Linked DNA regions of Xenopus tropicalis. The protein of the gene in region 3 purifies or fractionates together with the protein of the main gene of each other region. This does not show direct contact. Links are inferred from orthologs where the notes say so. Each region holds a gene or a part of one and is shown on either strand. Other genes may lie near its edges. The genes, in order: erbb2, erbb4 and lrig1.

Region 1 (4,415 bases), on a different chromosome or scaffold from region 3:
AGCATGTTTGTGCCCCAGGCTTGAAAACCCTAGGATGCCCCAACCCACAGTGGGGAGGGACACTGTAACGGCCACGTAGCCAGGGGTGCCACTGCCATAAAGGGAGAAACTCTCCTCAGGCAGCGGCACCCAACAAGTTACCGGGGGTGGAAAAAAAACACTTAAAGAGCCAAAATTCTGATTTTTCAGTTGGAATTTCAGCTCTTCTAATACAGACAGTGCTATTGTGACCACTGCACTAGTAATGCAACCCCCCCACCTGCACCAAAGCACGGGAAGCAAGGGGGCAGCATGGAAAAGCCCACCTCAGGGTGAGCAACATTTCCCCTGCACATAGTGCACTTTACTTGCTTTCACTTTTATGCCCCAGCCTTTTGGCCAATGGCAAGGAAATTTTTTAAAATCCGGCCAATATTGAGACATTTGTTTTGTTACTGAGCTTTTATTTTTGTGTTTTTTCTTCTATGATCTAGTGCAACCTACGATCTGGATCTATCCATTTTTTACAATCTAGCGCAATATACACTTATGGATCTGCACGCTGGCTTGAGGGGGATAATGTGTGGCCATTCGGCTCCTTTCCCTTAAAACCTGGCCCCACCATAAACATACAAGACTGAAGATTCTCTTGGGGGTCAATGGAGCTCTTATAGCAGGGCCTCAACTAGGGGTAGGCAGAACAGGCATGTGCCTAGGGTGCAATGGAAAGGGGACCCCTAATTTGTAGCTCCTGGGGATCTATTCTCCACCATGTTTGCTGCCCTAGGCTAGAGGGGGTGGCGCTGACAAGCAGGTATGAATGGGCCCAGCACTGCCTTATAGGCTTTCTGGATGGAGGGTGAGGATAAAGGGGTAACCCTAGCCCTGCTGTGAAGGGAACCTGAAGACCCTCGCCCCTGCCGGCCTTCTAGCTTGGGGGGTCAGAGATAAAGGGGTTCTCTCTAGTCCTTGGACAAAAGGCAAGAACCTGAAAATTCTGGCCGGTTGGTCAGGTTTTGGGCTCTTCCTTTTCATTGCACATTTGCACTTGTGCACCATGCACTTTTTTGCACTAGGTTATTTATAAGGGTGAAGACACACAGAGATACTAGTAGCAGCTACTTGTCGTGGCTACTAAAATAGACAATGCTGATCATTTACTGATAGTTGTCTCTATGTGTGTTTAGCAGAGGCAATTCTCAGTATTGTCTATGGCAGGGGATTTTCTGGGGTTTAGTAGCTGTGAAAAAGTAGCTGCTACTAGTAGCTCAGTGTGTCTTCACCCTAATACATACATGGGTTTCAATAAAAAAAAAGACCAAGGTATGTAGGTGAGTGTGAATAAGGAATTGTGTAGGTGGGCATCTATTGCTTATCCAGAGCTGCCAGTCACTACTTGCCAGGAATGCTAGGAGCCTACAGCCTAGGGGGTATGACTATATTCTAGGGAAGTGGGGGGGAGGGTAGATTTAGCAGCTGTGAGCCCAAGAGCTTACCATCTAGAGACGTTTGAGCCCCACAGGGGTGAGTTAAGCAGAGAGAGCAGGGAGTAGAAGTGAGTGCCACTCCTATAAGTGTCTGTGTCCAGCCCTCCGCCTCTCCCTCCCCTGTGCCCCCTCCCTGCAGGAAGTGCCTGTGTAGGAATGAAGCGGGGCAGCTACACAGGCAACTGAGAACTTCTTTCCCGGAGCAGAGAATCAGGCAGGGGGGCCGGCTGGCAGCAGGGGGGCTGGCATGGCACTGCGGGGGCACTGACACTATGGGGTTACGGCCATGGCTCTGGGGGCTCTGCGCCCTGCTGCTCCTACTGAGGGGACGCGCCGCCGAGGAAGGTAAGGAGGGTGCGGGTCGCAGCGTAAGGTTCTGCCCATGTACTTACAGCGCGTCCGGGGAAGAGTTTGGAGGGAATCGGGGGTGACCTTTATATAGTAGGGAGTTCATCGGCTGCGATTTCAGTCCAATCTGAGTCACTCCAGCTTTGGTTGCGCTACAACTGACGCAAGTATTCGGGTGCAACAGTAGGGGACGCAGGTAAAGCATTCCTGTATACGCAGCCATTGGAACCTCAGCAATATTAATGAGACTAGAATTAAATAAAGGTGCTCTATAGCCTTAATGGCCCAGTGTGAAAAATGATTAGTGCGACAGAGATGCTAATTGCCCTTGACCAACTGCATAGAAGGATTTCATTGGGGTTATCTCTAGAAGATTGGTGTTAAGGTGGCCATACACTTTAAGATCCGCTCGCTTGGCTTGGCTAGATATCGGTCAGGCATGGCCATCGTTTCTACCCCTACACGGGCCAATAAGCTGCCAAATCGGTCCAAGGGACCCATATCGGCCCGTGTATGGGTACCTTTACCGGATGGGTGGGCACATTGTGCCCCCTGTTTGCTCTGCTCTGTAGGGTAAAACAGTGACTTTTGTTTCTGCAAAGTACAGTGTTTTCCTACCTGTGATGCTTTCTGTACTATAATAAACCTATATTATATATCACTATAACCCAGTGATCTCTCGGGGCAACATGTTGCTCCCCAACCCCTTGGGTGTTGCTCTCAGTGCCCCCAAACCAGGGAGTTATTTTTGAATTCCAAAGTTGGTTGAATAAAAACAAGATTTACTACCAAATAAAGCCCCTGTAAGCTGATAGGGTGCATAGAGGCCCCTAATAGCCAATCACAGCCCTTATTTGGCACCTCCATAAACTTTTATGGTGCTTGTGTTGCCCCCCAAGTCTTTTTACATGTGACTGTGGCTCCCGAGTAAGAAAGTTTGGGGACCCCTGCTATAACCAAAAGCAACTCTGGGTAAAGAACCTGCTAGATAGCTTGGTAAGGGGTATAGTATACAGGGTACCATTCAGTTGCATCTCTGGGCAATGGCACAAGGGGTGATTGCAAGCTCTCCCCCCAAAACACACATAATTGCCTCTCCATTGACCTGGATGGTCTTCTGAAACCTGCCCCAAAATCAGACAATTATTGCTCAGAAATGCCAACTGAGCAATTCCAAGTGATAACTGTCTGACCTGCGAGTGGGGTCCAAGGGCAGTTATTATTCCGGGCAACGGAAGGGCAATTGCTGGAAATCTCAGGGGCAGCAATACATTTGCAATCACCCCATGTGCCATTCCCAAGCACAGTAATTCACCTTGATGGCGGCTGCCAACTACTGTGTCCCCCCCCCCCAACCAAACTGTGGGCTCAGAGCAAGTGTTGGAAGGGGCCCAGCCTGAAAGCCATTGAGGTAGAATACCTATTGCCCCCCCAAAGAGTGTCCCCTCTAAGCTGTGCACACAAATTTGGAAGCCAGAACACACACAATATAGTGCAAAGAATCTAAAAGCACAGTTTACTAATTTTTTGGACCCACCAAATGCTTTTGGGCACCAGAAGACATTTTTTTACTGAAGGTCGAGGATTGTGATGAACATGTTGGGAGATGCTCAGGGCAATTGTGTATGTTACGAGCCCAGAGGTGTGTGTTCTGACACTATAGTAAGAGCTCACGTGCTGATGCCTGAAGGTACCGGTGCTGATGTTGGTTTATTAGAAAGTAAGGGTTGCTGGTACCTGTATATTAGGAGAAGGGAAGGGGGTTCTGGTGTATTGGATCAGCAGGAGCTGGGTCAGGGCTCAGCATTCCCTCTAACTCCCTATTTGTGTGTGTGGGTGCACAGAAAGGGTCACACTTTTGCCCCCCTTAGTGCTCTTGCACTTCTGCCCAGGAGATACATAAATTACCCCTTAAGTTTTTCTACACCTCAATATGTTGTATAAGCTGGTCCCCGCTTTGTATATGCATGCACACTACTGCACATTGGTCTAAAAATGCTACATGGTTGCTTTGGGGTAACGGACCCTGGCAACCAAAAAACAGATTGTAAGGTTTTCCTTTTATGGTTGTTTTTTATTGCTTATATCTGATTTCAGGCACTCTACTAATTATCTTCCAGTCTAAACGTCCCCATACACAGGCCGATTGTAGCTGCCGATATGGGTCCCTTGGACCGATTCGACAGCTTATCGGATATCGGGGGAAGATCCACTCGCTTGGTGAATCTTAACGTGTATAGGGACCTTTGCTTCCTAACATTTGCCTGGTTACTAGGGTATTTAAGCCCTAGCAACTACATAGCTGTTAAAACTCCAAACCTACCAGCTGCCAGCGTAACTGCTGAGGGAGCAGCAGTTGTGATTGCATCTGGGCCTGCCCCCCCAGTAGGGCCCCCTAAATTCACCCCCCTGCCGGAGTCACCACCCGTACCCACCAAGACCTGAAGGTGAGAGCAAGCGCACAGCACATCTTCTGGCAGGGGGCCATACTGGGGGGTAGTGATGTGTGGGTCGACATTTTGTGGATGGGCCAAGGGCCGTGGGCATAAATAGAGGCTTCCAGGTGCAGAAGATTGTGGGCAGGGAGGGCAAAAGGGAAAG
Region 2 (3,617 bases), on a different chromosome or scaffold from region 3:
ATATACTATACTTTGGCTGTTTTTTAAAGGTATCCTTTTCACTATATAAAAGTAGCAGAACACGGAAAAATGTATGTCTGAAAAGAAACGTCATCATTTCCCAAATAAAGGAATTCCTGAGAGCTCTCCATAGCAGTTTGCAAAATACTGGGTTTAAGGATTACAGGTTTTAGCCGTCAGACAAAAGGCAGCAATTATGGTATCAGAGTTTCCAGTCCCCCGCACAGCAGACAGAAGAAAGCTGGTGCCCACAGAGGTTATGGCATACTGTATACCGGTGCTGGGAATAATTATTTGTCTCTATGAGCTGAGGCTGAGATGGAAGGGCAGGGGGCACATTTAATGATGGCCTCAGCTGAGAAGTTATGAAACGTCCATGGCAGTAAACGAAGCAGCAGATTCAATGATACAATTCTATGCTTGTCAGGAGAAGTGACGGCAAAAGCAGTTTTTGACTTAAAGCGCCCGTAGGGCAGCACTCTCTGAAATAGCAGGCAGCCCCTTTAGTAGTTGATGCTTTTCAGGGTAATGGAAGGATGCAAAGTAATCTAAGCTAAAGGAAGGCTGTAAGCATCAACCCTCTCCATTTAAAAACTGAGGTTGAAGCACTGGATCAAACACTTGCCAGGTATCCACTTATCCTCTTATTAGTTACGGCTGCACCCCACAGCTCTTAGTAACCGAAGTTTGAAAATAAAGAAGCAACAACCAGAGGGTAATTATCCTATGTCTGTGAGCCATGTACATGCCAAAAGGTAATTCAGACATAGGAAATCTAAAAAAGCACCATCTAATCTCAGTATTATCTGTGTAATGTTATGTTAACATTGTGGCTAAAGGGAAGGAAAAGGAAAAACTAGAACAGACTGTAAGTTAATTACTTTATTGCTGTTCAGGGTGCCCTGGAGGACCGCAAGGAAGTGACGGAGACAGGACCATAACAGGGCTAGGGGAGCCAGGAAGGTGTTAAATTGCAAGGGGTTGTGGGAAATGTATTTCAAAAGGTGTTTGTCTGGAGGCTGTAGGAAGAGAGTGAAGGGTATAGAACAGGAGGAGTCAGTCACCATTTACTTTTGCAGCTCCCTTAGCTTATCGGGGGGTAATAATAATAGCAGGGAGAGTGTTGGCGTAAGTGGTGGCAGGAGTGGTTTAAGTCTGAGGCTAGCAATTTTGTGTATCAACCACTGTCAAAAGGGCAGGGTTGGCTGTGGCCTTTTCCACCCATAAATAGTGGTGCCTCTTTAAGTGTTTTAGTTTAAAATGGGTGCTGATTGTGGTGGTGGAAAGGGTCCAAGATGCTGCCCATATCATGTGGAATCTACCTGTAAAACTGGACCCTGTAGAGAGGGAAATTTCCTAGTCTGACGCCTTCAGCATAGATAGAGATCCCTGCAAACATTGATGTTCATCTGAGCCCTTTTGCAGCCTGCTAATCTACTGAGATCCAACTCACTACAGGTTACCAGATGGGCAAGACACAGAGATTCAGGAGTCCCAGGGAGTAGAAGTTGTAGTTGGTATGCAGCCAAAAGTCAGAGCCAGTGGCAAACCTCAGAGTCTGTTCTCAAGCCATTCCCACATACAGGCAAGGCTTAATAACAAGACAGAAGGAGAGTCTGTGCAGTGTTGAAAGGGGCTCTAGCATATTCTGTAGAAAAAGATATGCCGGCTTGGGCAAAGACTAGACTACACACACATGTGTGACTGGTGGTGAGCATATCCTGGCATAAATTAACAGGCATACCAGCAGAGATGCACGTTCTATACACCTGAGAGAGTGCCTTACCACGTGTATAATCTCAACAATGCACTTAGTCTCCTGCCAACTAAACAATGCTAAACAATAATTATATAATATGTAGATGTATATGTGAAAGTGCCTGATTTATTAACATTTGATACTTTTGTCCTGTACAAATTAAAAATGTATTTTTGAGTCCTGCTATTGTTCTTATGGCTTAGAGTCCAGCTCTTAGTATCAGGATGCTCTGCAATTCTGCATTTCTCTTTCCACAGTGGAATTTCCCTGCTGATTCTAAAGCAGCAGAGCCTCAACTCCCTACAGTTTCAGTCACTCAAAGAGATCAGTGCTGGGAATGTATATATCACTGATAACCGTAACCTGTGCTATTACCATACCGTCAACTGGACATCTCTCTTCCGGACATCCAACCAGAGAACCACTATCCGAGAGAACAAGAAGCCAGAAAACTGCAGTAAGTTCCATTATTCATTTGTTTGCTCTTCGGAAGCATTGTTTTGGTTGGTGAAAACTTTTTGTAGAAATATGTTTACGAAAAAACTACTTTTATGTCACTGGTGCAATGTTATTATTAGTCCCTGTTTCCTGGTGACAGGCCCTGTTTCAGTGTCTCTTTTTAGTGTCCCCAGCACAGTCCCCCAATTCAGTGTTAAAGCCACAGTTACATTAATTAATCCATATGTGGACATTGGCTGTACATGTTATCAGTAGCAGTTGCTCTGCCCTAGTCATTTGGTACTTGGCACACTTAACCAGGAAAATAGGGTAGCAATTATATTATTTCAGATGCATTCTTTTTTCTACTTACAAAACACTTAGGGGCTAGAGATGTAGCGAACCTCACAAAAAAAGTTAGCGAACCCGTTCGCGAACTTCTGCCAAAAAGTGCGAACTTTTGCGAACTTTGCGAACCCCATAGACTTCAATGGGAAGGCGAACTTTAAAACCTAGAAAAGCCATTTCTGGCCAGAAAACTGATTTTAAAGTTGTTTAAAGGGTGCCACGACCTGGACAGTGGCATGCAGGAGGGGGATTAAGGGCAAAAATGTCTCTGAAAAATACTTTGTTGACACAGCATTGCATTTTGTGCTGTAAAGGACAGAAATCACACTACATTTCTAAACTTGTGTAATAAACTGCTTTTACAAGGACTATTGGGTTATAGCAGATGATCAGCAGGACAGCTGCCCACAGCAGCTACATACAGAGCAGTAGAAAGTAGATTACTAGTCAGCAAAGCTACCTAAACTGTCCCTCAAACCCCTGCACAGCTCTCTCCCTATGCTAACTCATCAAGCACACACAGGCAGAATGTAAAATGGCTGCTGGGCTTCGGTTTATATATGGAAGGGAGTGGTCCGGGGGTGGTCCAGGAGGGAGAGCTGCCTGATTGGCTGCCATGTATCTGCTGGCTCTGGGGTGAGAGGTCAAAATTTGGCTCCAGCTAAGGCGAACCCAAAATTGCGAACTTCGCTAAAAGTTCGCGAACTTGCGAACTTGCGAACACCCGATTTTCGTGCGAATTAGTTCTCCGGCGAACAGTTCGCTACATCTCTATTAGGGGCAGATTTATCAAAATGTGAGTTTAGAACTTAATACATAGAAAATATAAAATACATATAAACTAACTCTAACTTTCACCCATTGAAAAATATGCTTCTTAAATTCCCATTGGAATGAATAGAATGTGGGTGAGTTTTTCACGTATTAAGCTCTCAACTCACATTTTAATAAATCTGCCCCATACATTACTCTAGTGTGGGCTGGTTCAGCTTTGTAGACAAACCTGAGGTTTCTACAGTTTTACAACATTCTGTAACTTCTCTCAGCATGGCCAAAGTGGTGGCATCAGGGT
Region 3 (4,267 bases):
TAAAAAATGAAGACCAATTGAAAAGTTGCTAAGAATAGGTCATTCTATAACATACTGAAAGTTAACCTGAAGGTTCAATAACACTGGCCTACCTCCCTATTATGTAAAGGGGCAACAGGACCAGTCTGTGGAGCGACACCATTTATTAATACGAGTGCTACCCTTAGCAACCATGGTCTCCGAGCCTTGAATCTATCTACTGTATCCGCCAGTACAACTGCTTCTAGCAGGGAATTCCACAACTTGCCCAAGACGTTATGTAACATCCCGGAGACTTAACTGGCTTAACCAAATAAGTTTATGAATTCTCTACCATTATCCTAAAAACCTATTTACAATGTTTTTGATTAGAAATAAATCTCCCAGAATTCTGCACTGCAAATTTCCCCCCTCTTAATTTGCAATTTTAAATATATATTTTTTTTTAACAAAATGCAATGTGGATTGTATTAGACGCTATTTAAAAAAAAAAATGAAAAAAAAGTCTATATGAAGGATTACGCTGGCATAAATCCCAACACTCCACACCAGGTGCTGCAATAATATACAAAGTGCAAACCACAAGTCATATACAGTGTTTGCTTTCGCCTATTCTGTTCGGCGGGCGTTAATCACAGAAATGAATTAATCACAAAATACTTTCCCTTGGAACACACACATATTGACGCGGCCGGGCACAGGCTGTATGTCGATCACGGGGCAATTTTAATTATAGGGTTGCCCCCAGCCATTTATATTTTTTATACAGTACCTGTACTTGATCCCAACTAAGATATAATTACCCCTTATTGGGGGCAGAACAGCCCTATTGGGTTTATTTAATGGTTAAATGATTCCCTTTTCTCTGTAATAATAAAACAGTACCTGTACTTGATCCCAACTAAGATATAATTACCCCTTATTGGGGCAGAACAGCCCTATTGGGTTTATTTCATGGTTAAATGATTCCCTTTTCTCTGTAATAATAAAACAGTACCTGTACTTGATCCCAACTAAGATATAATTACCCCTTATTGGGGGCAGAACAGCCCTATTGGGTTTATTTCATGGTTAAATGATTCCCTTTTCTCTGTAATAATAAAACAGTACCTGTACTTGATCCCAACTAAGATATAATTACCCCTTATTGGGGGCAGAACAGCCCTATTGGGTTTATTTAATGGTTAAATGATTCCCTTTTCTCTGTAATAATAAAACAGTACCTGTACTTGATCCCAACTAAGATATAATTACCCCTTATTGGGGGCAGAACAGTCCTATTGGGTTTATTCAATATTTAAAGAATTTTTAGTAGACTTAAGTTATGGAGATCCAAACTACGGAAAGATCTCTTATGCAGAAAACCCCAGGTCCCGAGCATTCTGGATAACAGGTCCTATACCTGTATATTTAATACAGTGTGAAAGTTGGGGGGGGCTGTAATTGCATTGTATTGTACTTCTTGGTTCTTATTTAACCCCCCCCAAGTTCAAGTGCTGTTTCTGCCCTGCCCTAAAACCGGCTCAGCGTGCTGGTGTTATTTATTATTTGACAGCAACCCAATTAAATATTATAATTATACCTGGGCTGTTCTTAATATTTATTCTGTACGTTGTTTGTTTCCTGCTCGACTTTTGAAAAAAAGACCATCTAAAGCAGGGGTTCCCAACCCCCCTAATGCCGCGACCCTTTAATACAGTTCCTCATGTTGTGGTGACCCCCCCAACCATAAAATTATTCCTAAGAGCATCGGAAATATGTGTTTTCCGACGACCCCTGTGAAAGGGTTGTTCGACCCCCAAAGGGGTCCCGACCCCACAGGGGTTACGTTAGTCCCCCAACACTACAGATATGGGGTAGAGAAAAATAAGAGGGGGGTCCCTATGGTTGGCTGCTGTCAGGAATGGGGCAAGGGGGCAACAAGTAACAGTGGCCTTTTGGAAGAGGTGCTAACTGCCAGTTGGGTCACACTGACAGTTGTGCCCATCAAGCAGCTGGTCTGACATGGTTTGCACCCAGAGGAGGTCAAAGTCCTGCTGTACTACAACTCCCACAATCCTCTAGCAACCCTTAGATGGAAAAACCAATTGAAAAGTGATGGTTTAAAGAGGCAGAGTGGGGCACAACTTACAGGTGTACTGTCCAGGCGGGTAGGTCGGAGGGGGGCGCTGTCAGGCCCAGGTTGCTGCAGTCCAGCAGGTCCCCAGTACAGGTGCAGCTGGGGGGGCACAGGGGCTGCTGGGGGAGCCCCATCCCCAAATGGAAGAGAATTCCCAGCAAGAAGGTGCTCCTGCCCGTTATGGGCTGCATGTTGGGGTCCAGCTGTGGGGGGGACAGATCCCAAATCCGGGAGCCGATAGAGGGGGCAGGGATGTAAGGGGGGTGCACAGGTTTTTGGGGTGGGTTCAGGATAATGGGGAGGAGTAGAGAGGAGTTTGTGGGGGGCTGAGGGGTGTTAAGCACCGCAGACCACTGCTCCCCCCATACCCAGGGAGTTGCAACTCTCAGGAGGCATCGGTCATGTGTGAGCGACGATCCCTGGCCAGAGAGTAAAAAATCGCAGGCGGCAGACGCACAGCCACAGTCCCGGGAAACAGAGACAGATCCAGTCCGTCGCAGTCCTACAGAGAAACCCGAGAAGCGTCCGAGCCCCTAATCCGTGCGGGGCGGTCCGGCTGAGGCGGAATACGGAGTCGCAGCACCGATAGATCCACTCCGGGTAAAGCTCAGAGTCCGAGCCGATCCCGGGCAGCGCAGCTCTGGGGCAGGCACAGACACTGGCGGCGTGTAAGCCGGGCTCTCATTGGCGGCCGCACGTCGGCCTCACACCTCCCGCTGTCTCGCCGGCGCTGATTGGCCAGGGGTTCATCTCCCCCCTCCTTCTAAATCCCTAGCACTTTCCTTACAGAGAACTTTTCATTTCAGTTGGAGGAACTGGGAGAGGGAGGAGGTGTCGCTGCAACAGCTGCACTGTCGGGACCCTCACACCTCCCACCCAAATACATTGTCTGAGGCCGGGGGCCCTCTATTATACTGTTATACTGTTATACCCACTGCTAGGGACCCTGCGCTCTTAGCTTTTCATAGTTAACACTTAAGCAGAGCCATTATTAGTATCCAATCATATTCAGTAACTGTGGAGCCTTAGTGCCCTCATGCCTTGGTACACAGTCAGGGCTCCCGCCTTTTTATACTCACTTACTGGGCCCTTCATAATCCCATCCCTAGTACCCATGCCCTTACTCTATCATTTTATCATAAGCACTTCCTGGGGCCCCAGCTCTCATCTAATCATATGCACTTCCTGGGGCCCCTCTCCTTATTATCCAATCATATGCACTGCCTAAAGCTCCTCATTTCTTTTATGTGTATTTCTTGGGCCCTTACATTTCATTATCCAATCCTGTGCACTTCCTGGGGCCCCTCACTCTCCTTATTATCCCATCATATGCACTTCCTGGGCCCCCACACTGACCTTATTATCCAATCATATGCACTTCCTGGGCCCCCACACTGACCTTATTATCCAATCATATGCACTTCCTGGGGCCCCTCACTCTCCTTATTATCTAATCATATGCATTTTCTGGGGCCCCTCACTCGTTATTATCCCATCATACGCACTTCCTGGGGCCCCTCACTCTCCTTATTATCCCATCATATGCACTTCCTGGGGCCCCTCACTCTCCTTATTATCCCATCATACACACTTCCTGGGGCCCCTCACTCTCCTTATTATCCCATCATATGCACTTCCTGGGGCCCCTCACTCTCCTTATTATCCCATCATACACACTTCCTGGGGCCCCTCACTCTCCTTATTATCCCATCATACTCACTTCCTGGGGCCCCTCACTCTCCTTATTATCCAATCATACGCACTTCCTGGGGCCCCTCACTCTCCTTATTATCCCATCATACTCACTTCCTGGGGCCCCTCACTCTCCTTATTATCCCATCATACGCACTTCCTGGGGCCCCTCACTCTCCTTATTATCCCATCATACTCACTTCCTGGGGCCCCTCACTCTCCTTATTATCCCATCATATGCACTTCCTGGGGCCCCTCACTCTCCTTATTATCCCATCATACACACTTCCTGGGCCACCTCACTCTCCTTATTATCCAATCATACGCACTTCCTGGGCCCCCTCACTCTCCTTATTATCCCATCATATGCATTTCCTGGGGCCCCTCTCCTTATTCTCCCATCTTCATATTATACAATTATAAGCACTGTCCCAGGGTCCTCACTCTTATAATCCAGTCAGATGCCCTTGCACCCCT

What was found.
Region 1: the proteins of lrig1 (region 3) and erbb2 purify together in Homo sapiens (co-immunoprecipitation; 4 studies listed by BioGRID and IntAct, with this or other methods). This does not show direct contact. The link is inferred for Xenopus tropicalis from reciprocal best matches to the Homo sapiens genes LRIG1 and ERBB2.
Region 2: the proteins of lrig1 (region 3) and erbb4 purify together in Homo sapiens (affinity purification with western blotting; 3 studies listed by BioGRID and IntAct, with this or other methods). This does not show direct contact. The link is inferred for Xenopus tropicalis from reciprocal best matches to the Homo sapiens genes LRIG1 and ERBB4.

The regions. Positions count from the first base shown.
Region 1 is NC_030686.2:9,878,631-9,883,045, reverse strand, and holds the start of erbb2 (receptor tyrosine-protein kinase erbB-2), read left to right. Parts: upstream 1-1,582; 5' UTR 1,583-1,738; coding exon 1,739-1,811; intron 1,812-4,415. UniProt on the Homo sapiens protein: Protein tyrosine kinase that is part of several cell surface receptor complexes, but that apparently needs a coreceptor for ligand binding. Essential component of a neuregulin-receptor complex, although neuregulins do not interact with it alone.
Region 2 is NC_030685.2:57,168,670-57,172,286, reverse strand, and holds part of erbb4 (receptor tyrosine-protein kinase erbB-4), read left to right. Parts: intron 1-2,016; coding exon 2,017-2,216; intron 2,217-3,617. UniProt on the Homo sapiens protein: Tyrosine-protein kinase that plays an essential role as cell surface receptor for neuregulins and EGF family members and regulates development of the heart, the central nervous system and the mammary gland, gene transcription, cell proliferation, differentiation, migration and apoptosis.
Region 3 is NC_030680.2:143,473,064-143,477,330, reverse strand, and holds the start of lrig1 (leucine-rich repeats and immunoglobulin-like domains protein 1), read right to left. Parts: upstream 2,830-4,267; 5' UTR 2,290-2,829; coding exon 2,111-2,289; intron 1-2,110. UniProt on the Homo sapiens protein: Acts as a feedback negative regulator of signaling by receptor tyrosine kinases, through a mechanism that involves enhancement of receptor ubiquitination and accelerated intracellular degradation.